7 linked regions of the Ovis aries genome follow. The protein of the gene in region 1 interacts with the protein of each later gene in a pairwise test. Links are inferred from orthologs where the notes say so. Each region holds a gene or a part of one and is shown in the gene's direction. Other genes may lie near its edges.

Region 1 (4,362 bases):
CTGACACAGAGAAGAGCTAACACTTATGTAGCATTTACCACATGTCAGGCACTATTCCAAATGCTTTACATGGATTAACTGAATCATCACAAAATGAAGAAGGAGGAGAGTACTATGATTCCCATGTTACAGATGAGGAAACTGAGACAGAGCGCTTTTGCCAACCTGAAGTCTCTCCCCTCCCCTTGTCTCTGGTTCACTTTTCCCTCCAACACGGATCAGGTTCTCTTTCTTCCAACAGCTCTTCTCTGACTCCCCGCAGCAGTCAGCTGTCTTTCTCCTCCTCTTAACCGGAGCACAGCATCCATCTGTCTGGCCCCCTGGCCTTCTGTCCGTCTGGCCTGTGTTCATTCTCTCTTGTGTCCTGTCCACCAACAGGACCAGCTGCTCCTTACTGAGTCCTTCGTGGGCCTTTGCTCCCTGGGCACCTCGTCAGCACCCACACCCCGCACTCTCGCCTGATTTCAGTTTAGTACTTCTGCCTCTGTCTCCCAAGTGGCCCACCACGCAGGGAGACCTGGACAGAACCCAATGCTGAGGGCCAGATGGTGAGGGGGGCCAGCTGACAGATTCGGACATCTCACGAGGAGCCTACCAGACAGGCTGGTGGTTGAGTCAACTTCCTTGCCTGCCTCAGAGGCTATCAGACTTGGCTCTGGAGTAGGGAGTGACTTCCTTTAGGCTAAACAGATAGGGCCCAACTCATCTCCCTGCCTCCCCTCCCCCACTCATGGCTTTCACCAAGACAAGCCTGACGCCCATGATCACTTGGCCTTTGGAGAATGAAGTCTTTCTCCTCCTGCCCATGTCCTCTCCATGCTTGACAGAAGTTGCTCTCCATTGCCGGACTCCTTTCTTCCTCTGGCTTCTCTGAATTTCCTGCCAGCCTCAGTGGAGTCCTCATTTTGCTCCCTGGTCCAGTAGCTTTTGCTCCTCTCCTCCTCTTTCCTCCCAAGCTACTGACCTGGGTACTATTTAGATTCTAATCTGAGCTATGCTCTTGATTTGCGGTGTTACCTTGGACAAGTTACTTTCCCACTCTGGGCCTCAGTTGTCACATCTATAAAAGGAGGCAGCTGGACTAGATGGTGAGTGGCAGTTCTGCTGAGCCCCTGCAAGTTCATTCTCCCTTTTACGGCTCTCCTCTCCACCTCTCCTAGGGCTCCTCTCCCGGGAGGGGGGAGGCGGGGGTCCTGCCCTGGCCCCAGGAGAGCTGTGGTTCCAGCTCCCGTTCCCTGTCTAAGTGACCAGCCCTGAGCCTCCTCCCCAGCTCTGGCCCCGGCTCCGCTCCATGTGGCCTGTCTGAGAGGCTGGCCCCAAGCCCGGCGGCAACTCCACATTTCTCTGTTTTTCCTTTTTTTTTCTCTCTCTCTTTCCCGGAGTTAACAAGAAGCAGATGTGGCGCACGATGGTTGGAGAGGTGGGGGGAGGAAGGGGGAGGCTGGACCGCCAGCCAGACAGGGGGGGAAGGGAGGGGAGTGAGGGAGAGAGAGGCGGGAGGCCAGGGCCCGCCCCACAGCCACTCTTGCGCCTCTGAGCAGCCACAGGGGCAAAGCCCTGTCACCCCCAGGATCTGGTCACTGGGGAAAACCGACAGCGGAGACCAGAGGAGGGCCAGATGGAGCGAGGGGGTGGAGGCCCAGGAGGCAGCATCTGAGAGGGCCAGGGACCAGGCGCAGGAGGCTGGGCTGTGTGTAGGGGGGGCACAGAGAACAAACTCCCCTCAGAAGTGGAGAAGAGGAGAGCGGAAGGAATCGAAGGAGGGACAGACAGGAGCCTGAGGAGGAAAGAGGAGGGGGAGAGGGGTCAGGCCAGGCAGCCAAGGAGGAGGTGTGTGGCTGGGGGCTGCCAGCAGGAAGCTGGGGACAGGACCTGCTGTCCCTCAGAGCAGCGGCATCCCCCCAACCCTCGCTCCAGGCAGAGGCGCCAGTGGTCAGGCCAGGATGTGCCTCTGAGGGCCGCCGCAGAGCGCCCCCACCATGGCCCCCGGAACCCTCTGGAGCTGCTACCTCTGCTGCCTGCTGACCACCGCCGTGGGGGCAGCCAGCTACCCGCCTCGCGGCTACAGCCTCTACACTGGGAGTGGCGGGGCCCTCAGCTCTGGGGGCACCCAGGCCCAGAGTGCCCCCCGACCTGCCAGCCGCCACAGGTAGGAGTCTGGGTCTTAGCCCAAGGCTGGAGGTAGGTGGGAGGGTGGGTGTCCTGGCCCCTGCCCCGGGTACGTTCTTCTGAGCTGTCCACTGGGGCAAAGGACGGGGTAAGAGGAAACCCAGCCACCAGGTGGCTCTTCACATGCCCGCCTTCCTTCAGGGCCCCCTGGAGTAGATAGGCACCCCCCTACCCCATCTAACCTCAGGAGTAATCACTTCCACGTTAGGTGCCCAGGGAAGCTATCCTGAGGGCCACGGGCCAGGCCTTCCTGTCACTGCCAGCCCACACCAGCCTGGGAGTCTCGGCAGACCTTTCATCCCATGCTAGGGCCCCCTCAGCCCCATGCAGAAACCCACGCTTCCCACATCACTTCTCTGCTCCTTTCCTTTCTCCAGCGGACACGGAGTGGAGGCCGGTCGGGGGTGGGGGAGTGGGGGGCCAAGAGTGTAGAACTGAAAGCCCCAGGGCGGGCAGGGCTCATCAATGGCTTATTCTCTCCTTAACCCTGAGCTGGACCCCTGCCTGCTCTGACCACTCCCCTGAAGGGTGAGGAGAAGCCAGGGGTTCACCAGGGAACCTGGCCAGCCAGCTCACACAGGCCACGCCAAGCTGGGGGTTGAGACAGAAAGGGACATGAATGAATGCGTGAATTCAGATGCTCCCCAGGCAGCCCAGCCATGAGGATCAACATCCCGTAGTTGTGGTTTTACTTTCTGGGCCTCCTGTTCCCATCTTGAAAAGTCTTTATTGCCTCCTACTACACGGGAAGGCGTGGGGGGTGGGGTGGGGTGAGGAGCTGTCCCTGCCAAAGCCCTAGCTCCCCCTGGTCCCCAGAGGCCCTTCATCTTGTGACCCTCCCTCAGCCCCTCTGGTAGCCCCTAGGCCTCCCCACGGAATGTGTGTCTCTGGCCCTCAGACCCAGGTGGGATTGTGCCTGCAGGAACTGGTGTGCCTATGTGGTGACCCGGACAGTCAGCTGTGTCCTTGAGGATGGAGTGGAGACTTTCGTCAAGCCCGACTACCAGCCCTGTGGCTGGGGCCAGCCCCAGTGTTCCCGCAGCATCATGTGAGGATGGGTACTTGGTGGGGGCGGGGCCAGGGCTGCCAACCTGGGGGATTTGTACAAAGCAGGTAGCCAGGGGCAGGACCAGGGGCTTCGCTGAGAGCCATTTGAGGAGATGCTGAGGCAACTCTTTGGCTGGTGTGATACTGAGGGCACACTCACTTGGACCACCCTGCCAGCCTTGGGAATGTGTCTTCTGGGCCTGGCCACATTCAAGGAGAGGAGTTCAAAGCTCCAGCACAGAACAAGGGGAGGAAGAACAGGGATTGGCCTTCGGCCAACTGGCTGACAACTGTCAACTGAGCAAGGCCACATGCTGGCCAGTAAGGGGGACCCAGCCTGAGGGACAGACCTAGCCCACGAACAGCGGCCCATCTCTGAGGACAGGGGCCAGCATCACTGATGGTGCAGGAGGAGTAAGGGGGCCTCCCTCTGCCTCTCCCAGGTACCGCAGCTTCCTCCGCCCTCGCTACCGCGTGGCCTACAAAACGGTGACAGATATGGAATGGAGGTGCTGCCAGGGGTACGGGGGCGATGACTGTGCAGAGGGCCCTGCCCCGGCGCTGGGCTCCGCACCCACCACCCCGCGGCCCCGGCCCCAGCCCCAGCCGGCCCGCCCCAACCTCTCCGGCTCCAGTGCGGGCAGCCATCTGAGTGGACTGGGAGGGGAAGGTGAGTATGGGAGTTGCTGGGGAGAGGAATGGGGACAATGCTGGGGAAAAGCATGGAGCCAGGCTGCTATGGGGAGACCCCTGCTCCAGGTCAGGGCTGGGGGCTGAGGAGTGGAGGAGTGCACAGAACAAAAGATAGTTAATGAGATCCCTGAGGTCCCTTTCCACACTTGAGAGCAAGAGACCGAGAGAATGTCTGTGTGGGGGTTGTGTGTATGTGTGTGTGAGTGTGTGAGAGAAGAGAGATTGAGTGAGACCCAGAGAAAAGGAAGGCAGAGAAAGAGAATGTGCTCGCACACGCCCACGTGTGGCCGAGATACTTCCTAGTTGGGAACAGCTGCGGGAGGAACGGGGAATTCCTTGGACAAGCTTGGTCCAAGGGGATAGACACTTGGGACTACAAGTCCTAGCATGCACTGCAGCTGACTACAGGTCCCAGGTGCCCCAGTGGCCTCTAGAGACTGCAGGTCCCAGAAT
Region 2 (4,371 bases), on another chromosome or scaffold:
AGCTGAGTTACACTAAGAATTAAAGAAAATAAATCAGCAAAAAATCTGATGATTTTAAAAAACCCATCAAAGTGTTTCCCAAACTTATCTGATTTTATAAATTATCTGGGATACTTCTTAAAATACATACTCATATCCCAACCCAGACCTACTAAATTACAACTTCAAGAGGATTAACCTGTGTATCTGGGTGTTATTTTCATATCTAGGATGTCATCCAAAATGGGGCAGATTTGGAAAATCCTGGCAGATCAGGCTAAATAACAACAACCCTAAAAACTAAGATAAATAAATACAACAAAAAAAAATTTTTGCTGTTCAAATGAATTAAGTACAGTGTAGCCACACACAAAGATGTTCACTTAAAATGTACCTATATTAGAAATCTAAATAAGCATCAATAGGAAAACAAAAAATGAATTACAATACAATTATACAATGGAATACTATACTGCTGTAGAAATAAAGGACCTACATCTATATATATCAACATAATTGAATCTGAAAAAACTGATTTCTAGGAAAAGTAGGTGTGTAAGAAAAGTAGGCTGTTTGTGTATGTAAACATATCTATACGTAAATACGTATGTATATATACTCACATTTAAAGTACATAAAATAACTATGTATGTGTTTATATATATAAATGTATTTATTATATATATTTTCAAGCTATATATATTATAAAGCATGGATATATGCTATATTCTTTTAATTTAGTTTTATATGATTGCAACATTTAATAAATGAGTTTGAGTGAACTCCGGGAGTTGGTGATAGACAGGGAGGCCTGGCGTGCTGCGATTCAATGGGTCGCAAGGAGTCGGACACGACTGAGTGACTGAACTGAACTGAGGGTGCTATCTAGAGAGACTATATTTGTAGGATGATTCAACAGCAGAAACAGAATGGCAAGGTTTTACAACTTTAATCTTAGTTTTCAAATAAAAATAACTATTGTCTAATTACAACAACCAAAACATGAATGTATGCTGATGGGAAATAGAACAAAAACAATCACCCACCCCTTCAAAAAATAAACAGAAAGGAAAATAATTAGGGTGAAATCATTTTGTTGTTGTTTTTTTTTTTTAATGTTACCTCCTACCTATTTTCCAGACTTTCTAGACTCGCACCCCACTCCCCCAACACACCCTGTCCGGTTCCAGCCTGGGACAAAACCAACAAGACTGATGGGGGAAATTCTAGGCTTTACTTGCTTCAGAGTGGAAGGGAGAGAAGTGAACATTTCATAGTACAGAGGAAGAAGCAATTCTTTAAAAGCTCCAGCAGAAATCAGGAAAAACGCAAATACAAACGACCAAATATTATGACCGGTTTGGTGTCAAAGATGATAAATAGGAAAATGAATAGATAGATAAACAAACAATAAATAGTGGATGTGCAGTGCCCAGCGGTATAGTTGGGGAGAAAGTAGGACTGAGGCGAAAGGTGGCCACGCCCCCGCTCCCGCCCCCAGCTCGCTCTAGCTCCGCAGGTAGGAACCTTAAATGGGGATGTGAGCTCACAGTGACGCAGACCTAGAGCCCGCGCTTGAACTGGTCTCTCCCGTTGCAGTCCGTAGCCCTTTGCGGCTGTGCGCCGGCTCGCTGTTGCCTTAAGGTGGGCGAACTGTACCCAGAAAGGAGGAAGCCGTGGAAGCTGACCGCGATCCTCGGCAGGTTGGAGGGCGCTGACTGGGGAGGGGAGCGGGGGCCTGAGGGTAAAGACCAGAGCGAGGCCAGGACTGGATTCTCTCTACTGCTTCTCCGATGACCTCACGTTTGTTTGGTGCAAGAAATGGAGGACTTGGTGGGAGGAATTCAAGAGGCGCCAAGGGTTGAAGAATGGGTACGAGATAGTATCTCCTAAGAGCTGGGCGATTGGGCAATGTCTGGAAGAGAAGGACCGGGAAAGGAGACTGCGAGGAAACGACCTGATTGCTGCAGCGCGCCGGGAGGGGTGCGCAACCGGCGACCCTGGGTTGGGGGTGGCAGACTCTGCAGCGGGTCTAAGCCTCCGTTCCCGGTATTTCTTCACCTTCCTTCCATTTTGGAGCCGGAAATGGTGGCTGTGGGAACTCGAAGGAGTAGGGGAGGGGACTGGGCGGCTGCTGCAGAGGATAGAGACAGGGGTTAGGTGTGGGAAGCACGTCCCTTCTATGGAAGAGGCAATCGACTGCGTGTGCTACGGACTTCTGAACATAGGCCGGGAGCAGGAAACCGCTTCTGGTCGCTTCAGGTCGGTGTGAGTGTGGGCACTGCCTGCGGACGCTAGGGTAAGCCTGACAAAGCGCTGACGCCGCAGCGGGGACAGGTTTGCTATGCCCACGTTCCCTCTTTGCCCTTCGTCCATCTTGATGCATAAAATGGTGGGCAGTGGAAGAAGGGGGAGCTCCAGAAAGTCCCCGAAAGGTCCTGGCAGATAGCTACATTGAAATTATTTATAAATGAACCATGTAGCCACCCAGCAAGCTCTTAGGACTACCCCCGCCTCACAAGTTGTCCCTTTGCTTTCAAGAAATGGTAATTAGATGGCGGGGAAGGACCAGACAGTGGAGATGAGGGGCCTAAAGAAGAGGTTTGGAAATAATCAGCTTTGATTAGAATGTCTGTTTCTGGAAGACAGGGTCACAGGGAGTGAATAAAAGCCGTGAGAAGGGATAGAGGAGAAAGGGAAGGCAACAACACATTTCTAGCGGAGTCCTAAACCCACTAGACAGCTGGCGCCCCACCCCCGACGCTGGTCCTTTAATCAGAGTGATCAGTGCTGGCTGTTGTCGCATTTCTCTCTATAGGTCTTTAGGTCCGTTGGTGCAGCAGATTTCAAGGCTGAGAGAGGAAGACTGCTTCTGATCCCTGCAGGTATGGGAGGTGCCCGGGACTCTATTGTAGGGGTGCACAGGGCAGAATGGGGGGAATTCCAGCCCTCCTTGCCGGACTAAGTGCAGGAGAAACCTGGCCGAGACTGGGTCTGTGGCTGGTGACGGAAGAAGGGAGTAGAAGGGCAAGCTCTGGGTGCCCCCTGGACAACTTGTAAGGAGCTCTGGAGGCTAAGGCCTGGTCTTTCCACCATGGTCCTTCCCACCAGCCACTGGGAGCCAGGAGTGGAGGGGGGAAAGATTTTCAGGGAAAATGATGGGCTTTGGGGCAGGGCTGGATCTGGGGCTGGAGAATGAAATGGCAGCCCACTCCAGTACTCTTGCCTGGAAAATACCATGGATGGAGGAGCCTGGTAGGCTACAATCCGTGGGGTATCAAAGAGTCTGACACGACTGAGCGACTTCACTTTCTTTTCTTTGGATCTGGGGCGCCCCCTTAGAGGGCACACTGAAGTCTCTCAGGTGGTGAAACATTTGCGCACAGAGCTCTGAATCTTGTTATTACAAAGCATTCATTTCATCTCCTAGGAAGAAGAAGCGGGGAAAAATATCTCAAGATGGAAAAGGACCCCAAGGAAAGGAGAGAAGAGGAGCAGGCTCTGGTGCAGAATGAAGAAGCTTGTCCTATGGGAGGTGGTGAAGGCGCCAAGCCTAGAGAAAATGTTAGAGGGGATTGGGACCCACCTGCCCAGGATTTTAGAGAGGATATGCCTAATGGGCTTGTCAATAACATTGACATTATAGATGGGGATGCTGATGATATGGAGAGGTTCATGGAGGAGATGAGAGAGCTAAGGAGGAAAATTAGAGAGCTTCAGCTGAGGTACAGTCTGCGCATTCTTATTGGAGATCCTCCTCACCATGACCATCATGATGAATTTTGCCTTATGCCTTGAATGCTGAGGTTAATAATCATAAACCCCCTGCTTCACAAACTTGCATTTTCTTGATGTACCCTTTACTGTGAACCTTTTGTGTTCTGTCATTTTTCAGATTAGTGATTTCATTTTCACTTTTGACTTTAAAAGAATTTCTGTCAACTTGCAGAATAGCAGGGGAGATTTAATGAACTTGCATGAAAAGATGTCTATTACATATTGTAAAGCTAATAAAGCACTTCAAAAAGCAGTTAGTAGATATACTATCTCATTTTAAAGCATGCATTTTATATACATATATATATAGATAGATCTGAATGTGTCTTTTTATTTTCTTGATTAGCTGTTTTTTTATTTTCCCAAAATAATTATACATGTGTCAAAAAAAAAGAAAAGAAAAGAATCAAAGAACTTACCAATCAGATTATAAAGGGAATGGAAACAATAAATATTTGAGGTACAATTTAAAGACATAAATCTTATATTATCTCTGGATCTCTTATTTAGAAGCACAAACCTATTATAATCATTACAGATATGTTTCTTTAATATCAGCCTTGTTCAGTTGCCCAGTCATGTCTGACTCTTTGCAACCCCATGGACTGCAGCACA
Region 3 (3,387 bases), on another chromosome or scaffold:
CTTCATGAGGTCTCGAAGAGTCAGACACAACTGAAGCCCCTGAGCACCTGAGCAAAACTAGAGGCAGTTAGCATTTGCCTGGCCCATCTGGCCTCAGTACATATAGCTCTTTTGGTTCCTTGAACACAACCAACACTTACTATTTTTTAAATAATAATGCCATTTTCCTAAAGGCATCTCTATTTTGTAACCATGACTTTTAAAAATAGTTTTCAATTATTTCAAGTTGAAAAAATGAACGGTTACACTCAAGATAAGTTTCAAGTTTAATTGCTTCACATATCCCATGCCTATTTCTAATATTTTTTGGAAAAATTCACATTACAAAAAACATGTCTTTGGAACTAACTTTTACCAGTACTTAATTTCTGAGATCACTCTAAGGAAGTATGTGTAGGAGTGCTTTGCCAAGTTTGGAAAGGAAAGCAGAAAATAAATAGGCTCCCTTTTTTTTTTTTTAAAAAAAAAGAGCTCCTTTCCTCCAAAGACTGTGGTATCAAAAACATCACATAAATTTACATAAAATGGTCAAGGTCTGACAACTGGACTTCTACCTCAAGATTTACTTTACAGATCATTTTGAAAACAACAACTGTATTTAGGAAGATACTTGTATTTTTTCAAAAAAAGACTTCAAAATAAAATGTTTCCAAAATGTTGTGTGGTGGAGTCCAAAGAAAATATTTTCTGGGTAGTACAGGTGAACAAACAAATCAACAGGCTTTTTCTTCCTGCAGGATGAAGCATTTCTTTCAAAAATGAAACCTTGTAATTTTTAATTTTTTGATGGCATGCTGACTTTAAAAAAAAAGAAATAAAGAGAAATTACTAGGAAGGATATATACAACCCATTCTACCTTCTCGCCTGTCTGACAAGTTTCTTGCTCCCTCCCCACCCTAACCTTCAACCTAAATGTCCTAGAAGATGAATTCAGGGCACTTGGTGGGCAATGGTGGGGCGGGGTCGGGGTGGGGAAAGACTGGTCTGTGAGAAGAGGAAAGAGAGCAGAAAAAGGCAAGGCCAAGGCCTTAGGGGCGGAGATGGGGTAGAGGGTGTTGTAGACCTTCCCTTATAACCAGAGAATGGCAAACTCTAACCGCAGCGAGGTGATGCCACTCGTGGGCAGTCAGATTGGAGAAGAGCGAGATGATTGATGGACGGGGAGGTGCGCGCTGTGGCCCAGCGCACAAACAGGCGGTTGTCCGCGCCTGTGCACGAGGCGGAAGTGGGGCGCTCCTGCTGCACTGGCCGCCGGAGTTGGGGGCGAGCTCGGCGGTGACGTGAGATGCTCACGTGATCGCGAGCTGCAGAGCGACGCAGCCTTCGGTGCAGTCGTCACTCCTGTCTGGGTACCAGCTCCCCGCTCCCCTGCGCACGGCGGCTTGGCATCGGGCCCGCGGCAAGCGGAGCAGGTAAGAGCCCCGGGGCCGCGCGCTGACGCCAGGGAGGCAGCTGCCAGCCAACCCCAGAGGCCGGCACAGGGGTTCAGCGCGACGAGCCCCGGCAAGCCCTCTGCACACCCTGGCTTTCCTGGGAACAGAAATAGTGGCCCCCTGGGGTGGGGGTGCAGGGGGGCAGGGTTCCAGGGAAGGCAGGAAAGCAACTCAGAGCGATGGGAGATCATCCCTGAATCACCTGGAGCGGGGCGGGGATGGGGGCCCCTGAGGGTGGGGGCGGGGGGCTCGGGGCGGCTAGGCGCGGAAAGGGGGGCTGGTGGGAGTCGGGGACGCGGGGTCGGGAAGGCGCCGAGCGCCCGGCTGCAGCAGCCTCCTGCCCCCACCCTGGCCCGTTGCAGGTCTGCCGAACTAAGTGTGGCGGCGGCGCACTCGTGGCGAGGATCGGAAGGAGCAAGAGACAGCGAGGATAGGCCCAGGTCAGTGCCGGGAATAGTGCAGGGGAGAAAGGGGACTGGTGCACAGCCCAGCCTGAGATCCCTTGCTAACTTCCCCAGACCCCATGCCCCGTCCTCCATTTTAGGGCCTGCTGCGCTCTGGGAAAGAATCCTGGGAAAAGAAAAATGGTGGGCTTTGGGTTTGAGGGAGGGAGGGAAAAGGAGAGCGCAGGGAAAGAGGTCAAATTGAAGGCTCCCCAGAAAGCGCACGAAGCACCTGAGGTGGGGGAAAAATTTTTTTTCTTTGAATCTTTACTATCAGGACTCTGAATCCTGCTGGTCAGTGCACCAAGCATTCAGTGTCTCTCCTTGCCTTTGTCTTACTTGTTGTTCAAAGAAAAATAACCGGGGGAAAAAATCTCATCATGGCTAATATCCACCAGGAAAACGAAGAAATGGAGCAACCCGTGCAGAACGGAGAGGAAGACCGCCCTTTGGGAGGGGGCGAAGGCCACCAGCCAGAAAGAAATCATAGACGGGGACAGGCTCGCCGACTTGCCCCTAATTTCCGATGGGTTATACCCAATAGACAGGTCAATGATGGGATGGGTGGAGAGGGAGACGATATGGAAGTATTCATGGAGGAGATGAGAGAAATCAGGAGAAAACTTAGGGAGCTGCAGTTGAGGAATTGTCTGCGTATCCTTATGGGGGAGCTCTCTAATCACCATGACCATCATGACGAATTTTGCCTTATGCCTTGATTCCTGCCATTTCCATGAGATTAATACTGTGATTTCCACTGTTGTTCTGTTTTTCCTTGCATTTTCCTGATATTGCCTTTACTGATCCGTTTGCTGTGAACCTTATGTAATTTCAGTGTGTCAGGTGGGTTCTGTGTTACCAGCTTCTAATTGCAGATTGCCTTGGCATCCAATCTAAGTTTCTGTCAACTGTAAAGTTTCACCCATTTGCATGGAAAAATGTAAAGTTAATAAAGTAATTAAAAAGCAATCTATACATTTATTATTGTCTGATTAAAGAAAAAATACATGAACCCTTCAAAAATCTGAAATCATATATCCCAGGATGGCAATTGGAGCACATTTCTCTGTGGTTGGATACTACATGACTTTTTTTCATTTATTATCTGGGATTTTAGAAGCAACAGTTTTTCAATGAGTCTGTGAATGAACATAATTACTGGTTCAGCAAACTTAAAGAAAAGTGAACTTTAAGTATCTTCCAGCCTTAACTGGAAGTAAACCCTCCCTTTATTACAGATACATTCCTGTAAAGAGTCAGTCTTCTCTTCTGTGAAATGGGATAAATAATGTCTGCCTTAGAGGGCTGCCAAATGGAACACATGAGGTGTGAAACTGTTGGCCTGCCTCCTATGCAACTCCCCAGCATTTAACAGGACCCTGGCTCTCATCAGATCCTTGGGCAGTGCTAAGGGGAGTTTTCACCCAGGCTCACAAGAGGAAGAATAGGTGGGTTCCACTCTGTCAATCCAGTCATATTTGCAGTACCCCTACCTCCCTGATTACTGCCA
Region 4 (4,226 bases), on another chromosome or scaffold:
GCTAATGTAAAGCTTTCTATTAAGAAATCTTTCTGAGAAGAGGAGAAAGGACTGGGACCCTAAGGTGAGAGGTGAGGTCAAGGGAAAGGAAGTTTGTTTGTTTGTTTTTTTTTGTAAGGCAAAGCTAAGCATATTTTAAAACCAGAGTGTGTGGATGGATACAACTTGAAGTTAGCAAGATGGATGGGTATGGTGAGTCAATTCCTGGAAGGTACTGAAAGGGACTAAGTCAAGAGAACTCAAGGAAAGACAAAGATTTTTTTTCCTCAGAAACAAGATGGAAAGGAGTCAAGATGGAAGGAGGCACCCTGGGAAATTCTGCTAGGCTAGAGGGGAGCTTTGGGAGTTGATGACAGGCAAGCCCCATGCTGAGATAATTGGGACCTTGAAAAGAGTGACAAACCTCTGGAAATGCATACACAGAGAGGGCACTTGAGAGACAAGTAGAAGGGAAAACAAGGCATCAAAAGACTGCTTTGGAGCACCGCCAAGGAATTTCTTTATAACACGTAAAAGCTGCAATATGACATGTTGAAGTAGTAACACCGACCACTGCTGTCTATATTATTTTCCATGGGCATGAATCTTTTTAAGTAAGTAGTTACAAGGGAAAAAGAGTAAGCTGCCTGTTTCAAACAGCTTGCACAAATGAACTGAAGTATGAAGACAAATAAACTCTCTTCTGATGTTAACAAGTTATGGGATATCTTTAGGGTTGAAATCAGGTTATACTGAGTATTTTGGATCTGGTGGTTAACTTCATTATCATTACACTTGTCTGAGTCATTCTTGGGCCCTAAGAAGACAGGGCCAGAGTTACCACATGAAAGGAAAACATTATATCAAAATAATGAGATTGGCTACAAAAACCTCCCCAGGAAGAGACTGCCTAGCAAAAGCTAGCGGAGTTGCTAAAATCTGACGCAAGCTCCAAACTATGTGCGAGGAAAAGCATGGACAGAGTCGACAGCCGTACCTGGGGCCGGTACCAAGCAGCCGAGCGTGCCGAGAAAGGCGATCAGCAGGCCCACTCCCGCTAAGAGGAGGGCCGACACCGGAATCTTGCGGCAGAATGACCTGAGGGCGCATCTAGGCGCTCCTTTTTTTGCCAGAGAAGGGCACACCCCAGGATCGGAGAGCATCGCTCTGAGAAAAGTACAAGCTCTTTGATGGAGCCCCAGAAGAGCCTCTCCCACCCCCTACCCACGTTCCCCAAGGGCAGGGCTGGACTGAGCTGCAGAGTTGGCGGGACACCGAGTCTAGTGACCCTGCTGGACCGCGCCCGCGGCCCCGGCGGCCCCGGGTGAGCGGACTGCGCTTGCGCACGCCCCGCGGAATTCGCGGCGGGGCGGGGGTGGGCGCGCGCACGTGCCCCCGTCTCCAGGCAACGGGAATAACAGCTGCCCTCTGAGAGCGCCTGCGCGGCCGGCGGCTGCTGGAGGGCGTGTGGTGAGGAAGCTTGAGTCCTGTGGCTTCCCCTAAGCGGGAGCCGCCTCCAAAAGAGCCTCAGGTACGCGGAAGGGCGGGAAGGCATGGGGTCAGCGCATCGATCTCCCAAGGGCCGACGGACTGAAGAGCCGAGGCCTTGTCTCCGAAGCGGAGTCACAAGTCGGGGACGTCCCGGGTGACCCTCCAGGACAGAACGCAACTTCCGCGTTCCGATCTAAACCCGCGGTGGCCGGATCGAGTGGTCCTTGCGTGAGGGTTTGGCAGCCAGGCACCTGCTGTATGCCCTGAGCCGGCTCTGTGCTCTTTAGGATCAAGCACGGTTCCAGCAGGAGGGAAGCCCCGAGAGTTTTTGTGCCGGTCACTTACCAATGGGCTGCAGTTTTCTCGCCTATAAAATGATGGGGCTGAACTCACAGTCCAACGGCCCCTCAATTCCAGTCCTGTAACTCTGGGCGAATCCCCAGCGAGGGGAAGCTGCTTGTCCTGTGTCACAGGCCTAAAAACTGACTTTCAATCCAATAGCTCTTTCCATCTGCTGTGGAGTGTATTATTGTGTATGAGGAAGCGTCACTGTGTATGGCAGAGGCTGGTAGTGATACAAAGGAAAGGTAGGTGGCAGGAACACCTGTATCACACTCCTTTTTCTATCCTCAGAACCTAATAAGCACCCACAGAACACAGTAAGCATTCACCAAATGCTTATTGAATGAAAGCTCTGGTGGACCCAGCACCAGCGTCCCTAAAAAGTCTAAGGGGAATTGTGGGTAGGCAGATGTAGAAACAGTTATACTTTAACAGTGGAGGTAAACCTCAGACAAACTCCTCACATGTGTCTGGTTTAAATCTCCCCTAGGCTTCAGTCCAGGCTCTGAATGGCTGGTCTCCAGTTGGCGTTGCCTCTGCCTATGGGCGTTATGCTCCCACATAATAAAAGGGATGCTCCAGAGCTCCATTCAGCTAAGCAAGACCCCTATGGAAAAGGTGACTCTTCCCAGCAGTCCTCTACAGGGCACCCGAGGAACAATTTCCAGCAGAAGCTTTTGAGTAACCAAGAACTGATGCTGGATAATCTCTACACTCACCCCAAGTGGAACACCTGCACAAAAGCCCAGAGCTGTTCGTATCCTCACTGTGCTGGAATGAGCCAGCAGGATTCAAGGAACAATCCCCAGGGCCAAGCCAAGGGTTTGTTTTACACATCAGACCCTCAGTCCCGGTATCCCAAAACAAATGACCAAGAATTCATCCCCTTGACAAAGAAGCGAGTGGGGGTTGACCGAGCATACCCTCTGAAACCTGTGTTTCATCGGAAGTCCCATAGTACAGGTGAGGCTGGCACTGATGGAGACCGGAACGCCTCTCCAAGAATCCCTGAGCCCAGAAAGTATTCGTACAGTAGCTTTGGTTCGAGGAACTGGGTGAATTCATCGATGGTTGGTCCAGTTGCTGCCACTCAGGAGGAAAGGGTCATGGCAAATGCCAACAGGACGGAGTGGATGCAAATCCAAAGACTAGAAGCTGCAGGGGAGAGCTTAGGGGAGGAAATCCGCAGAAAAGAGACTCTTCTGAGGGAAAAGCTGAAGAAGACGGAGGAGGAACTCAGAAGGATCCAGAAGGGAAAAGAACAGGCTGAGGAAAATGAAAAAAGAGAGCTTCAGAGAATGGTGCTCTCCCAGAGGAGAGTTAAAGATAATAGCATCACCGCATACAAACCTATCTTCTCTCCAGCACTCAGGTCTGAGGAGGTCTTCAACAGAGACACAGGAGAAGATGAAACTTGGGGACAATCTCGAGAGAATTCTAGTCCATTCCAGTTCTCTAATTATAGAATTCAGAAGCTCAAAAGGGAAAGACTGGTGGCAAGCAATAACAAAATCCGAGACCGAGTCTCAAGGCCATTGAAGCAGAAGTTTTCTCAAGCTACAGAAGCACCGCTGAGCGCTTTGCAGAGATACACCCGCAATTCTAGCTCATCCAGGGCACCAGACTCCTCAGGCTCCAGCTGTTCCACTGAAGAGCCAGAACTGGGCGAGTGCAGCCACTGCGGCCGAAAGTTTCTCTTGCTCAGGCTGGAGAGACACTCCAGCATCTGCCGCAGGATGCAGGGTTCCAAGAGGAAAGTGTTTGACTCCTCTAGGGCCCGGGCCAAGGGCACAGAACTAGAGCAGTACTTGAACTGGAAGGGTCCAGCTTCAGTCAAGGTAACAAGGGCCTTATGGATTTGCCATTGAGTGGGGATCACTTTTAAGAGCCTGTTATGTCCTCATCTGTTTTCTTTAGAAAGATTTCATGTGTCTTACAGGGAGAACGAATTCACATTTGATTTATTGATTACTACTGTGTGCCAGTCACAGTGATGGGAGGTTTTCATATGTTCCTCACTACAGCCCTGTGAAGATTTCATTATCTTATCAGTTCAATAATCAAGTCTCAGGTTAAGCTGCTTAAGATCACAAACAGTTTTAAATGGCAGCATATAAATCTGGGTCAGAATGACTCCAAAATCTAGACTTTAAAAATATGTTGTTTTGATTGTATAAGTAATAAACACTTACAGTAGAAAATTTAAGAGAATGAAATATATATATATCATGAAGCATTTCACTACCCTGACAAAATTCCTCATTCTTTATAATATATTCTACCATCACCCCAAATTAGGACTTGTTACCACTCCTGGAACTCTAATTTTTCCAGTTTGGCTAATTTTGATATACCTTCTTAGTAAATAGATGAAACGCACGATTAAGTTTGGAATTCTTTTTCTCCCCATTTAG
Region 5 (4,411 bases), on another chromosome or scaffold:
CTCAGCTTGGTAAACTCTTCCAGTTCCTTGTCTATGCGGTTCCTAATATAAATTCAGACAAAATGTGTATACATGGAACTGCATGGAACTGAATAATATATGGAAAGTGAAAGTCACTCAGTCCTGTACAACTTTTTGCAATCCCGTGGACTGTATAGGCCAGAATACTGGAGTGGGTAGATGTTCCCTTCTCCAGGAGATCTTCCCACCCCAGGGATTGAATCCAGGTCTCCCACATTACACGCAAATTCTTTACCAGCTGAGCCATCAGCGAAGCCTATATTTGGGGATTTTTACTTTCATGCTTTTATTTTCATGCTCATCTCATCAAATTTTAGAGATCATTCTATGTTAGTACACCTCAACCTGAGACAGGCTGGGACTTGGGACCCTTTGCTGCAGTGCTTGCTCCTGGACAAACTGTTTTCTCCAGCAACGAAATACAAAGAAACTATAGGGGACTAAAAGTAGCTGCATGGTTGTACAAACTAGAAACAAGAAGATACAAAAAGACCAAAAACCCAACTGCCACTTCTGAGGGTTCAGAAACAAAAGCAAGGTACTATTCACCACACCAAGAGAGTGGGCAGACCTCCTAAACATACCCCTCCAGCCCAGGCACATCCACCCCAACCCTGGAGCCATTTAGGGACCAGCTCACCCCCTCCCCCAGGGAGCAAGCAAGGGCACCCATACCTATTATTTGGCGTGCTTAAGTAAGAGATCCAATAAGGCCCTGCCTGATGTGGCATTTTATCAATTTCTTTTTTTAAATTTATTTGGTTGCCGTCATGTGGGATCTTCCATTGGGGCAAAGGGACTCTCGACTTGTGGCGTTAGGGCTCAGCAGCTGTGGCATACAGACTTGGTTGCTCCTCAGCGTGTGGGATCTTAGTTCCCTGAACAGGGATCAAACTCAGGTTCCTTCATTGCAAGGTGGATTCTTAACCACCAGACCACCAGGGAAGTCCCCATCAATTTCTATTTAAGAACCCGGATCAATAACAAACCCACTATATTCCTTTGGAAAGTATCGTTTAACAATACTGTTACTCCTTTAGAAGGACAAAATTTCTGTGGAAGACAGACCCTCCGTTTCTGAGCCTCCCTCTCAGAGCGGCACTATCTGATGTCATCAGAGCTGATTACTCCGTGAAGTTAGGGATTCAGATCCTGTGCCACAGGCGTGGGTGGCCCTTCTGGAAACTGCAACTTGCTGGTCTGTGAAATGGGCTCATAACGGATCACTGGGCCCCCGGTTCCATCATCCTCTGTTCTGTGCTCGGGCCCAGGGGGAGGCGCGGGGGGCTCAGAGCGCGGCCCCTTCCTGGGGAGACGCCCAGCCTGGCACATCGCCCCTCCGCTCGCGGGGTCTCTGGAGGGGGCGGGCTCGCTGGAGCCAGAAAGCCCGGAGCCGCCCAGGAATCTTGGCTGAAACTGCGAGCATTTCCTCCCAGGCGGGCCGGCGCGATCCCGGGGAGGGCGGGGAGCGCGGCCGCAGGCAGAAGCGGCGCTGCGCTCCGCCGGCCGGCAGCATGCGGCCCCTGCTCTGCGCACTGGCCGGGCTCGCCCTGCTCCGCGCCCCGGGCGCCTTCGCCGGTGAGTGGGGCCCGGGAGCGGGGCGAGGGCTAGGGAGTCCGCGGACCGCGAGGAAGGAGCAGAAGAGAGGGAGGGAGATGGGGACGGAGCCAGACGGAGAGAGAGAGAGATGGAGAAAGAGGGAGATAAAGGGAGGGAGAGAGAGCGATGGGGAGAGAGAAAGGAAAGACGAAACAGAAAAAGGCAGAGAGAGAGAGGCAGAGGAACATGGAAAACGGAACGAATAAGAGGGAAAGGGAGGGGCTGGGACAGAAAGATTTCGGAGGTAAACAGATGGGTGTGAACTATGAATGAGGACAGCAAAAGGAGTTTAGTGGGAAAGAAACAGAGGAACTAAAATGGCAAGAGAGGGAGATCCGAAAGAAACAGAAAAAGGAGAGAGGGTGGAGAAACCCAGTGCCCCGGGTGGGGAGGAGAGGGAGGAGGGGGCCAGGGTCCGGAGGTGAACCGTGAGGTCTGCGGGGTGGGGCGGGCCTGCGAAGCACCCAGGCCTCCTTTCCTGGGGAATTCACTGGGATGCTGAGCTCCAACAGGCAGATGACCCCGGTCTGGTCCGGCCCAGCTGGTAGGGGCCAGGCAGGCGGCCCCTGGAGGTCTCGGCTTCACCTGCCTGGTAGTCTGAGGAGGTCCTGCAGTAGAGGAGAGGAGGCCAGTTGTCAGCCTTTCAGAGAGCTTTCCCAGAGGGCCTGAGCAGCCTTGGGTGGGTGGGGAGGAGGCCGCAGGAAAGAGAGGCCCTCTGGGTGCTCCCGGCTGGGTTCCTTGCCGTGCTTTATCCCCTCTAGCTCCCCTGACAGCAGCCTTAGAGCTGTCCCCTTGCAGGTGAGGCTCGGACAGGAAGGCTGCAGGACCAACTGTCCCATACGCATAGGTGTTCCTTCCACCACCCCAAGACTCTGCACTCTGTGTAGAACTTTACAGTTGACATTTACCCAAGCTCTCTTGCCAACCTCAACCAGAGACGGCTGATGCTCACAGCTGTACAGGTGAGGGGAAGGCCCAGTCTGCCCAGGCATGCAGCTCTCCCGCCCCCTCAGCCACACCCTTGCCCTGTGTCAGGCTGCTCCCCCATCCACCTGGAGCTGGTGGAAGTGCCCCGTGTTAGGGTGGAAGCTCCCCTGGCAGGGAACCGGGAGCACCAGGGAAAGGGCTGAGGCCAGTCCTGCTCCTGGCCAGCCCCCGGCTGAGTGGCCTTGGGTGAGTCATGTCACCTCTCTGAAGCTATTTCCTCTTCTGTAAGTTGGGGAGAATGGTAGCCACCCAGAGAACTGGAGCAAAGGGAAGTGCCCAGCGCAGAACACCTGTCGACACACACTGGCTCCTTCCCTCGCGCCCTCAGACAGCTCCGCTGACCTCCCTGAGCCAGCTTCTCCACTGAGGCTGGCAAAGGAGGGCCAACAACCCCTTCCTCACAGGCTGAGTGAGGAGTGGCTGAGACCACCCAGCATAGAGTCCGGCCCACAGTGCCATCCACCCACCCCCTACTTCCCTGGCCCACTGCCTGCCCCCTCTTTGCAGAGTCCCACCTCCAGGAGCTGAGGGGACAAAGCCAAGTCTGTGCTCCCCCAGAGGGAGGAGCTGGCCACTGCCCACAGTGGCTGACCTTCTGTGGCCCCTTAGCTATGAGTGGTACATACGTTTTGTCTTAAAGCCATTTTAAACATTATTTTCTTCCTGGTCATGCTCATTGCTTCAGATTAAGAAAAATAGAAAGAAGAAAGTATAAATGTATTTATGTAATTTCACATTGTGTTCAAACATTGTTTTACATAACCTTTCAGACTTCAGACAATTATACCATTTTTTTTTTAACTGTTGATTATCAAATCTTTTGGCTATACACACAGAATGGTGTAAGGAACCTCCATGGATTCCTGACATCTTAATTCGTCTAATCCACCTTCTCTCCCCTCCCTCAGATTACAGGAAACTCCAGGCACTAAATATTTTCATCTATAAGTACTACCTTATATATTATTAAAGCATCAATAATCTTTTAGTAACTAAAATACCACTGTCACCCCTAAAAATGAACAATAACTCCTTAATATCATCAAATGTCTAGTCAGTATTCATGTCCCTAATTGTGTCATGTTTTATATTTGGTCTGTTTGATTCAAATAAGGTGGATACATTTGGGTTTTGGTTGATATGTCCATTAAGTTTCTTGTAGTAAGTTTTAAGTTTCTTTAGAAGGTTCTTTTCTTTTTTCTTAAAATGTATTTGGTAAAGAAACTACGTTGCTGGCCCTATGGCTTTTCACATTTAAATTTTAGCTGAGTGCATCTTCTGTATGTCATTTAAATGTTCTTCTTTTCCCTGTATTGTCTATAAACTGGTAATTAGATCTAGAAGCATCGTATAATTCCAAGTAGACTTTTTTTGTGAGAATACTTTAAGATGATTTATTGCTTTAATTTTCACTTCTTTGATTACTGCCAAGGTTGGATATATATATATATTTTTAAAGAATATTGGTCATGTCTAATTCTTGTGAATTGTCTTGACCTTTTCAATTGTGGTATTAGGATTTTTCATATTGCTCTATAAAGTCTTTTATGTGTTGAGTGAAATAGACTGTTCTGTGTTATTTGTAGAGAATTTTTTTTTTTTTAAGTTAAGACTTCAGCTGAGGTCCTTTTCTGTTTTGCTATTTAGCCATTCTCATCCATGCCTCGGGGCCTACAGGAATCCACCGTCACTCCAGGTCCCTGTGGACTGTCTTCCATTGGGATTCTGCTTTTTTGCTTTGGGTGAAAGAAGATGCTCGAGCTATGTTGAGACATCTTCCCAGGTGGCACTAGTGGTAAAGAAC
Region 6 (4,475 bases), on another chromosome or scaffold:
AAGGAAATGGCAACCTGCTCCAGTGTTCTTGCCCCGGGAAATCCCATGGACAGAGGAGTCTGGGGGGCTACAGCCCCTGCGGTTGCAAAGTTGGACATGACTGAGTGACTGACCGTTCATCCTGGGAAGAATGTCCAAGGAAAGGCCAGGACAGGTGCTGTATGAAGTACTGAACTCCTTTGGTGGTTTGTCCAGTATGGATGAGATGAGCGCCCCGCCCCAGCAGACTGCCCAATCAGTAAGTTAAGCTTGAATGGTATGAGATAACTTTACCAAACTGCCCACCCGGAAGGAATAAATCCACCCCTTAACAGGTTTTAACAAGTTCTCTATGCATTTTGTGTCTAGCCCCAATTTCCCCACGATCAAAGAAAAGGAGCTCACCAAAGGTTAGGCGGCTGCCAACAAAGGAAGACAAATCCAAACTAATCTATTCTTTTCCAACAAAGCAATTGCTTTGAGCCCCTGGATGACGTCAGCTGAGATTCCAGTTGCTCAGATTCCGCCCAGGCCAATAGGTTCCAGGAATCCTGTGGCAGGTGACGCCCCAGAAGGTAATTCCAGTGAAAATGAAGTTTCCACTGAAAGCCTCAGAGCTCTTCCTTCCGGACTTTGTGTGTGGGTATTTGGGGATGCTAGGGGCCTATCTGTGTCACACTAGGCAAAGCGAATGGGAACCTAAGCGGAATAAAGGGCAAACAATCACGGCGGTGTTAGACGGTGGGGTCCTAAGGAAAGAAGGTCCCAGAAATTCGTCACACCAGGGATGGCGAGGGGAGGAGCCGATCTTGGTCAGAGAGGGCGGATCTAGCAGAAAATCCAAAGTGTAATTCTATTGCTACATCCAAAAGGTGTGGGCAAATTTATCCAGACCCAACCTCTCCATGCCAGTGTAGAGTCTTTCCCAATTCATACCCCTCCTCACTATTGAGAAACAGAGACCGGTTCTGACACCCATCCCCAGGGGAGGATTTGAGCTCTCCACCCCCACCCCTCTTTCGCCGTCCCACGCCTTTTCCCCAAGACCGCGTGGGGCTCTCTTTGCTCAGCCCAGGACCCAACCATCCCTTCCCCTAGGACATGGGCCGGCTAGGCTCTCACCCTCCCCGGTGGCGCCTCTCCTCTCAGCTGGATTGCAAGTCGACACCGTGCCGCCCCCGAACTGTGGCCGCTCGAGCTCCAGCAATCCCGGGCCGAAACTCGCATCCTCCACCCAAGGACTCCGCCCCAAGCCGGCGGGAGCCTGAGACGAGAAGGCAGGGCAGGCCCAGCATCCAATCAGGGCGGAGGGAGGGGCCCCTGAGAGTATTTTGCGCTGAGAGCATAGCTACTTCCGGCAGCCTTTCCGGCGCAAAGGCTCTGGGTCTCGTAGGCAGTTATCCTTCCTCTCAGGCCTCTGTTTCCCAGCAGGCCCTGCGGGCTTGATGGGTCTAAGTGCTTCGGGGTCGGGAAGTGACGTTGACGTAAACAGGTTCTGTCGCCGTGGCAGCAGCTGAGGCTGCTGGGCAGGGTGTCGGCGGCAGCCGACTGGAGAGAGGCGCTGACTTCCGACGTTAGCCTGGGTCGCCAGCGCTGTCGCTGCTGGGTGAACAGGTAGGCCGTGACCCCGGGTTGGCGGGCTTGGGGCAAGCCCGGGGTGAGATTAGCCTAACAGGCCCGTGCCCCGAGGAAAAGCAATCGCGGGGCGAAAGAAACGTGGTAATTCCGCCAGGCTCTGGGAGCGGTTTTACCCCCGGCTAGGGCCTGGAGCTTTACGCGCTGCTGCTCCCAACTATCTTAGGAGGAAACCGCGGCTCAGATTAAGTTCAAGGAGTTTACGTAGTGAAGACGCGAGCTCCACACCCAGGTCTTCCTAATTTTCCCCACACCCCACGGGTGGAGCCTGTTCGGAGCGCCCAGCGTGGTTCCGGGGAGACCCCCGGGGTGGGTTTGGAGGAGAACGCGTCACCCTCTCTTACTGGAGCTCAGTCCGGCTCTTGTGTCCGGTGTTCCTCAGATGCGCGTGTGGTGGGAGTTGGGAGAGAATCCGGTAGTCGGCTTTGAACCCTCTCCGCTTCTTCTCCGGTCTGACCCTTCTCATTCAACTATCCCTTCCAGCCGTGCAGCTGGCTCAGGCCAGGTACGCGGGAATCTTGCCTGACTCTTTTTCACTCCTCCCCAAACCCCTGCCTCAGTCATCCTTTGCTAAGTCCTATCAACTGGACTTACAAAACATCTCAAATCGGAACACTTCTTCAGCTCCAAGCCTTGGTTACTGAAATAGCCTGCTCTGTTTTCACAGTCATTCATACCACATACATTTGCTGAGTGCCAGTTTCTGTGTAGGTATCATGTTAGATGCTAGGGTAACAGCAATGAGCAAGATAGTTGTAGCTCCCTCCTCTTTCTTCCTCCAACCCATTCTCTATCCTGGGTCTTGGTGATCTCTCTAAAGGGCAGGTAGTCAGATAGACTATGCCACTCTGCTGAGAATCCACAGGCTGTCCGTTAAACGCTTATGAGAAAATCCAGGCTCGTTACTGCAGCTTTCAGAGCCCTCCGCCATCCAGCACTACCTAGCCTTCCCATCTCACCTCATCCCGTTTCTCTTTATCCCTTGCTCAGCCTTTCAGCCACACTAGCCTCTTGGCTCTTGTTACAGGTTCCATTTCTCATAGCCTCAGCATCTTCACAGGTGCTTTTCCTTCTGCCTAGAAATACCTCCTCCTCCCTTCACTTGACAAACTTCTGGACAGCCTTTAGTTCTCAGCATGTCACTTTTTCAGAAGACTTTTGTTTGCAGTTTTGGGGGGTAATTTTGTGTCCACATGAATTTTATCCTTCTGCTACAGCTTCATGTAGCACCGTGTGCTTTTCCTCATACTTTTATCATAATTTGTGATTATTTGTTTACTTCCTGCCCAGAGGTCGGGAACTGAAAGCACTGAAGCATTTTCTTCACTACTCTATCCTCGGGACAGTAGATGTTTGTGAATAAATGCAAGCTCTCTGGGAAGGGAGTGCGAATTGAAGCAGCTCTTTGTGCCCTCTGGTTATTTGAAGCAGTTTGTCTGGTTAGTTACTTGTGTGTGTGCTCAATTGTGTCTGACTCTTTTGCGGCCCCTGGACTGTAGCCCGTCAGGCTACTCTGTCCATGGAATTTTCTAGGCAAGAATACTGGAGTGGGTTGCCATTTCCTCCTCGAGGGGATCTTCCCAACCCAGGGATTGAACCTGTGTCTCCTGCATTGGCAGGTGGATTCTTTACCACTCACCTGGTAGGTGCTAAATGCTTAGACAAGCGGTCTTCAACCTTTTAGGCACCAGGGACCAGATTCATGGAAGACAGTTTTCCCATGGTCAGGGGGCAGAGGCAGGGCGGGGGTGATGATTTGGGGATGATTCAAGTGCATTACATTCATTGTGCACTTTATTTCTATTATTATTATATCAGCTCCACCTCAGATCATCAGGCATTAGATCCCGGAGGTTGGGGGCCCCTGACTTAGACTATATGTGTAAATAGGACAAATAGGAAGACAGATCTTTTTAAAAAGCCCAATTACAAGGGAACTCTGGATGATTAAAGTGTTTCAAAAGGAAGATGCTAGTTGACTTACTTGAATGGACTGCAGTGAGACCGAAGGCCCTGGGCCATACACAGCTAGACATGTGTTAGTTGGCCCACACAATGTTGGATGTGGGTTTTGGGTGTGTTTTTTTTTTAACTTAAAATTTTTGAATTAAAGGAGATACTGTTCTTTAAAAGTCAGATTGCATACATAAATCTGGATTTTTGGTCCTCTTGAAAGTCAGTTCTGGCAATAGTGGAACTTGATTCTTTTTAACCCTTGCTCTTTCTGTGGTATACCTACCCTGGCAAGTTGCTTCCAGAGTCACCCCATTCAGAACAGAACTGCTCTAACGTATCGGGAAGGGAAACAGGGGAGGCTGGGGAAGATGAGAGAGAAGGACTGGTGCAGGGCCAGGCTGTGGTAGCCTTTGGAACACTGGGGGTTTCCAAGTTGGTTTAGCAGCCAAGAGCTAGACCTCAGTAGCATTGCCTCCCTTTTTAGACAGGGCATGTGCCCTCTTATTTTTATTTTGTGTGTGTGTTTAAGCCAAAATGAGGGTGAGTTTTCAGTGTTTCCTTCCCAGAATTGAGGCATCCTTTGGACCAGGAATGCGAGGTGGCCTGGGAAGGGAGACGATAACTCTGCTGGTTCTCATCTACAGAAAAAAAAGACAAACATTAGCTTGGCCCACAGGGTATCTCTGCTCTGGCTCCACCCGGCTTTCCCTCTCCATCCTCTGTCCTTTCGACTTCTAGTCAGGAATAGGCCCTTCCAGTGGCCTTGTGCTCCTGTCCAGGCTGTTTCCTCTGCTTGGAATGCCTTTCCCTGACCTCCTTACTTGGCATGTTCTCGCTGATATTTCACTCCTTTTTGTGTTTTCTGCTAGAAAGAGACTGACCCAGCTTTGGGTCCCAGTTGAGGC
Region 7 (3,675 bases), on another chromosome or scaffold:
ATGAATTTATAAATTGGGGTGTATTCACATAATGGAATACTGCACAGCAATGAAAATGAACAGGCAGTAACTATATACAATAATATGGATGAATTTCATAGACACAATGTTGAGCCAAAAGAGGAAAAAGAGGGCGTACCATATACTTTGACTTAAGTAGAGCACAAAAGCACAGTGTTAGAAGTTAGTATGGTGCTTACTGTTAGAGGCAGGTAGAAACTGGAAGGGAACCCCAGAGGGCTTCTGAGTCGTTGGTCTTGTTCTGATGATTGATCTGGGTGCTGGTCACAGGTGCATGATCCCTCCATAACATTTCATCTTGCTATAAATTATTGTGGGATGCCCTGGTGGCTCAGATGGTAAAGAGTCTGTCCGCAGTGCGGGAGACCTGAGTTCAGTCCCTGGGTCTGCAAGATCCTCTGGAGAAGGAAATGGCAACCTATTCCAGTATTCTTGCCTGGAGAATCCCACGGACGGAGGAGTCTGGTGGGCTACAGCCCATAGGGTCGCGAAGAGTCAGACATGACTGAGCGACTTTATATATTCACTCACTCACTCACACATTTATGCTAATGCATGTTTTAATATTCATTATACATTAATACAACACACACAGCCTCCCAGTGATGGTCATTATCAATCACTTTTGGATCAAAGTCTTGGTCTTCTCGCTAAATTTTTTCATTGCTCTCCTCATCCAAGTAATAATTTAAGTGTGTGTCACAGTTTAAAAAAAAAATTGGAAGAGTATCTTCACCATTTAAATTCTTTCTTAATTTTTCCTTTGTTTGAATTAGACAGCTCTCACTCCTTTTTTCTTCATCAAAATCCAGATTGTTAAAACACTTACTTTAAAGCATTATCACTTTTTATTTCTGAAGTTGGGGGTAGAGTGTTAAATATCAAAAGTGAGGTTTTTTTGTGTTTGTGAGCTTTAGAGAAGTCTCTGTTAAGATCCTGCATAATTTTTAGACCGGAGCTAGAATCACTTAATTCTACAACCCAAATGGGCCTTGGGAATCCAGCCAGCTCAATTGATCCACTTCACAGAGGACTGAAAACTGGGCTCTAGGGACCATGAGTGCATTGCTCCCTGCCATGGTGTACTCAGGACTAGAAGCAGGCATTCCCACTCTCACTGGGGAAAGCTCTTGACCCTTCTGTGTATACTGGATGTTTCTCTGTTATTGGGAAACACTGTCTTTTCACACTGCAGATTGTTTTGAAATCAGACTTATGGTAATCAGAAATTCTACCAAAGTGACATGTCAAATTGTAGAATAAATGTCAGATTAGACCAAATGACTCATTGGCTGTTTCTAATCTCTTCATGATAACACTTTTTCTTGCAACATGTAAAATAACCGTGAGAAATAGAGATGAAAACACCTGACTCATTTGTGCATTTCTGTGTGACTGTACTGTCTGTTCGGGGCTTCCCTGGCAGCTCAGTAGTAAAGAATCTGCCTACCAGTACAGGAGACATGGATTTGGTCCCTGGCTCGGGAAGATCCCCTGGAGAAGGAAATGCAACCTTCTCCAGTATTCTTGCTTGGGAAATCCCATGGGCAGAGGAGTCTGACAGGCTATAGTCCAAGGGGTTACAGAAAGAGTCAGACATCACTTAGAGGCTAAACAACAGAGACCTGTTCATCCTAGTGATTTTCAGCACCAAAGTATAACCACTTAACTTTATCGTCCAGATTTTTTTTTTTTTTAACAAATCTTGCTATTGGTGTCCCTTTACATTTTTATAAACCTAAGTTGTGGGAATGGTTAAAAGTTGATGGACAGGTGTTGAGGAAGGGGGAATTTAAATTTGATAAATTTTAAGGCACTGAACTGAATTTAGGAGTTTCTCTTTGGATGACATTACCTGAGTTTGCTGTCAAAATAGCTGCAGTATGCACCCACGTCTATTTCATACCTCTTTGCAATGAGACCAAAGATACTGTGCAGTGATTCCTTTGTGAAACAGCCTATTATTGGCATAGTTGTTTAGAAGATACTTTTCTGTAGGAATGATGTAGGCTTAAGAACCAAACAACACACAGTATTGACCAGTTTAAACACTGATTGATTAGAAAAAGTTAGAGACTATATACTTACAATTTCATCTGTGAAATAATATTAAAGGATCAGCATTTGACTAGATTACTGAGTATTTTTCTGGGAAGAAGCAATTACTAGTGATATTAAATCAGCGTTCTGTGGGGTTCTGAAGTCAGTGGAGAATGAATTATTGGATGATGAGATCACATTATCATTGGAAGGACTTAAGTTACTTCTTGTGTTGATTTTAATCAAACCTTTCTGTTTGAATTAGATTAATGAGGATATTCCTGAAACAAAGATAAAGTTCACATCTGTGGAGAATCCTGAGAGTGACAGTGAGTTTTCAGATATCTCCTATTCATGTCAAGTGAGCTCAAAAGTCCCTTATGAGCTGCAAAAAGGACAAGCACTTATTACCTTTGAAAAAGAAGAAGGTATGATTAATATTCAAAAACTTGACCATGTTACCTTTAGAAACACGGGGACTTCCAAAGAGTTTTTGTAGATATTTGGCCATTGCTTTAGAATTTTTATAGCATTTCGTCTTATCCTCATAGGGGTGCCCTGAAGTAGATAGGATTATTCCTGTTTTACAGACCAGAAAACAAGACTCTGAGATGTTGAGTGATTTGAACATGATCACTAGCACAGAATGTGAGTGCTCTAGAAATCAAACCCGTGTTGTGATGCCCAATACCAGCATTTTCACACTACTCCCGCTACCTGCCAATGATAATCCTAGTCATAATGTTTCAAAGTAGCAAAGCAGAGAGTTCTGACAGACATGAGCTCATTTTATACTCACGTGACTCTGTAAAAGTAATAAGATAGAGACACTGTTTACATCATTAAGAAACCAGATTCTCAGATGTTTCAGTGATTTACCTAAGTGCACAAGGCATGAGAATGAAAAGAGCTCTGGAGTCAAAGATTTGGCATGGGACCTGATGTTTGCCATGGTGTGGAACCCTCTTGAGAACTGGGGACACCTTAATGAGAATCTGGCTTTGAATGCCAGCTCTGCCTCTTCTTTTTTTAAACAAACCAAAACAGCACTTTCTTTATTTATTGACTGCGTCGGGTCTTGGTTGCATCACTTGGGATCTTTGTTGCGGTGCGTAGGCTTAGTTGCCCCGCGGCATGTGGGATCTTAGTTCCCCAGCAGGGCGTCCAACCCGTGTCCCCTGCAGTTGGAAGGCAGATTCTTAACCACTGGACCACCAGAGAAGTCCCAGTATTTTTATGTATTTGTTTGACTGCACCAGGTCTTGGTTGTGGCATATGGGATCTAGTTTCCTGACCGGAACCGACCCTGGGCTCCCTGCATTGGGAACAAAGAGCTGTAGCCACTGGACCACCAGGAAAGTCCCCAGCTTTGCCTCTTTACAGAAGTGTAGTTTGGGTTGGGTTCTTTATAAATCTCAAGTTTTTATGGCAGGCCTTGTAACAATGCCTACCTCATGGGGTTGCTTTGAATACTAAATGAGAAGCGTTGAAAAAATACTTAGCACAGTATCTGATACATAATAAACACTTAATAAATGTTAGTTGTCATTATTGCTCCATGCTAGAAATTTTTTAACTAAGGAAACAAAAGCTTGCTTGCATAAGGTCCATATA

Evidence for each region.
Region 2: the proteins of EMILIN1 (region 1) and BEX5 interact in binary tests that used the Homo sapiens proteins (3 or more experiments, as listed by UniProt). The two-hybrid records come from large-scale screens. The link is inferred for Ovis aries from reciprocal best matches to the Homo sapiens genes EMILIN1 and BEX5.
Region 3: the proteins of EMILIN1 (region 1) and BEX3 interact in binary tests that used the Homo sapiens proteins (3 or more experiments, as listed by UniProt). The two-hybrid records come from large-scale screens. The link is inferred for Ovis aries from reciprocal best matches to the Homo sapiens genes EMILIN1 and BEX3.
Region 4: the proteins of EMILIN1 (region 1) and ZC2HC1C interact in binary tests that used the Homo sapiens proteins (3 or more experiments, as listed by UniProt). The two-hybrid records come from large-scale screens. The link is inferred for Ovis aries from reciprocal best matches to the Homo sapiens genes EMILIN1 and ZC2HC1C.
Region 5: the proteins of EMILIN1 (region 1) and PLAC9 interact in binary tests that used the Homo sapiens proteins (3 or more experiments, as listed by UniProt). The two-hybrid records come from large-scale screens. The link is inferred for Ovis aries from reciprocal best matches to the Homo sapiens genes EMILIN1 and PLAC9.
Region 6: the proteins of EMILIN1 (region 1) and IFT20 interact in binary tests that used the Homo sapiens proteins (3 or more experiments, as listed by UniProt). The two-hybrid records come from large-scale screens. The link is inferred for Ovis aries from reciprocal best matches to the Homo sapiens genes EMILIN1 and IFT20.
Region 7: the proteins of EMILIN1 (region 1) and NMI interact in binary tests that used the Homo sapiens proteins (3 or more experiments, as listed by UniProt). The two-hybrid records come from large-scale screens. The link is inferred for Ovis aries from reciprocal best matches to the Homo sapiens genes EMILIN1 and NMI.

Annotation. Positions count from the first base shown.
Region 1 is NC_056056.1:34,159,851-34,164,212, forward strand, and holds the start of EMILIN1 (EMILIN-1), read left to right. Parts: upstream 1-1,515; 5' UTR 1,516-1,979; coding exon 1,980-2,149; intron 2,150-3,067; coding exon 3,068-3,217; intron 3,218-3,659; coding exon 3,660-3,886; intron 3,887-4,362. UniProt on the Homo sapiens protein: Involved in elastic and collagen fibers formation. It is required for EFEMP2 deposition into the extracellular matrix, and collagen network assembly and cross-linking via protein-lysine 6-oxidase/LOX activity.
Region 2 is NC_056080.1:133,706,946-133,711,316, reverse strand, and holds BEX5 (protein BEX5), read left to right. Parts: upstream 1-1,535; 5' UTR 1,536-1,800; coding exon 1,801-1,851; intron 1,852-2,115; exon of another isoform or gene 2,116-2,278; intron 2,279-2,797; coding exon 2,798-2,864; intron 2,865-3,409; coding exon 3,410-3,777; 3' UTR 3,778-4,009; downstream 4,010-4,371.
Region 3 is NC_056080.1:128,929,667-128,933,053, reverse strand, and holds BEX3 (protein BEX3), read left to right. Parts: upstream 1-1,338; 5' UTR 1,339-1,413; intron 1,414-1,796; 5' UTR 1,797-1,874; intron 1,875-2,229; 5' UTR 2,230-2,257; coding exon 2,258-2,596; 3' UTR 2,597-2,846; downstream 2,847-3,387. UniProt on the Homo sapiens protein: May be a signaling adapter molecule involved in NGFR/p75NTR-mediated apoptosis induced by NGF. Plays a role in zinc-triggered neuronal death.
Region 4 is NC_056060.1:84,396,487-84,400,712, forward strand, and holds the start of ZC2HC1C (zinc finger C2HC domain-containing protein 1C), read left to right. Parts: upstream 1-1,409; 5' UTR 1,410-2,057; intron 2,058-2,302; 5' UTR 2,303-2,321; coding exon 2,322-3,650; intron 3,651-4,226. Other genes in the region: ACYP1 (acylphosphatase-1), read right to left, coding at 977-1,142.
Region 5 is NC_056078.1:34,359,789-34,364,199, reverse strand, and holds the start of PLAC9 (placenta-specific protein 9), read left to right. Parts: upstream 1-1,503; 5' UTR 1,504-1,535; coding exon 1,536-1,599; intron 1,600-4,411.
Region 6 is NC_056064.1:19,762,757-19,767,231, reverse strand, and holds the start of IFT20 (intraflagellar transport protein 20 homolog), read left to right. Parts: upstream 1-1,507; 5' UTR 1,508-1,593; intron 1,594-4,475. UniProt on the Homo sapiens protein: Part of intraflagellar transport (IFT) particles involved in ciliary process assembly. May play a role in the trafficking of ciliary membrane proteins from the Golgi complex to the cilium.
Region 7 is NC_056055.1:158,230,304-158,233,978, forward strand, and holds part of NMI (N-myc-interactor), read left to right. Parts: intron 1-2,326; coding exon 2,327-2,489; intron 2,490-3,675. UniProt on the Homo sapiens protein: Acts as a signaling pathway regulator involved in innate immune system response.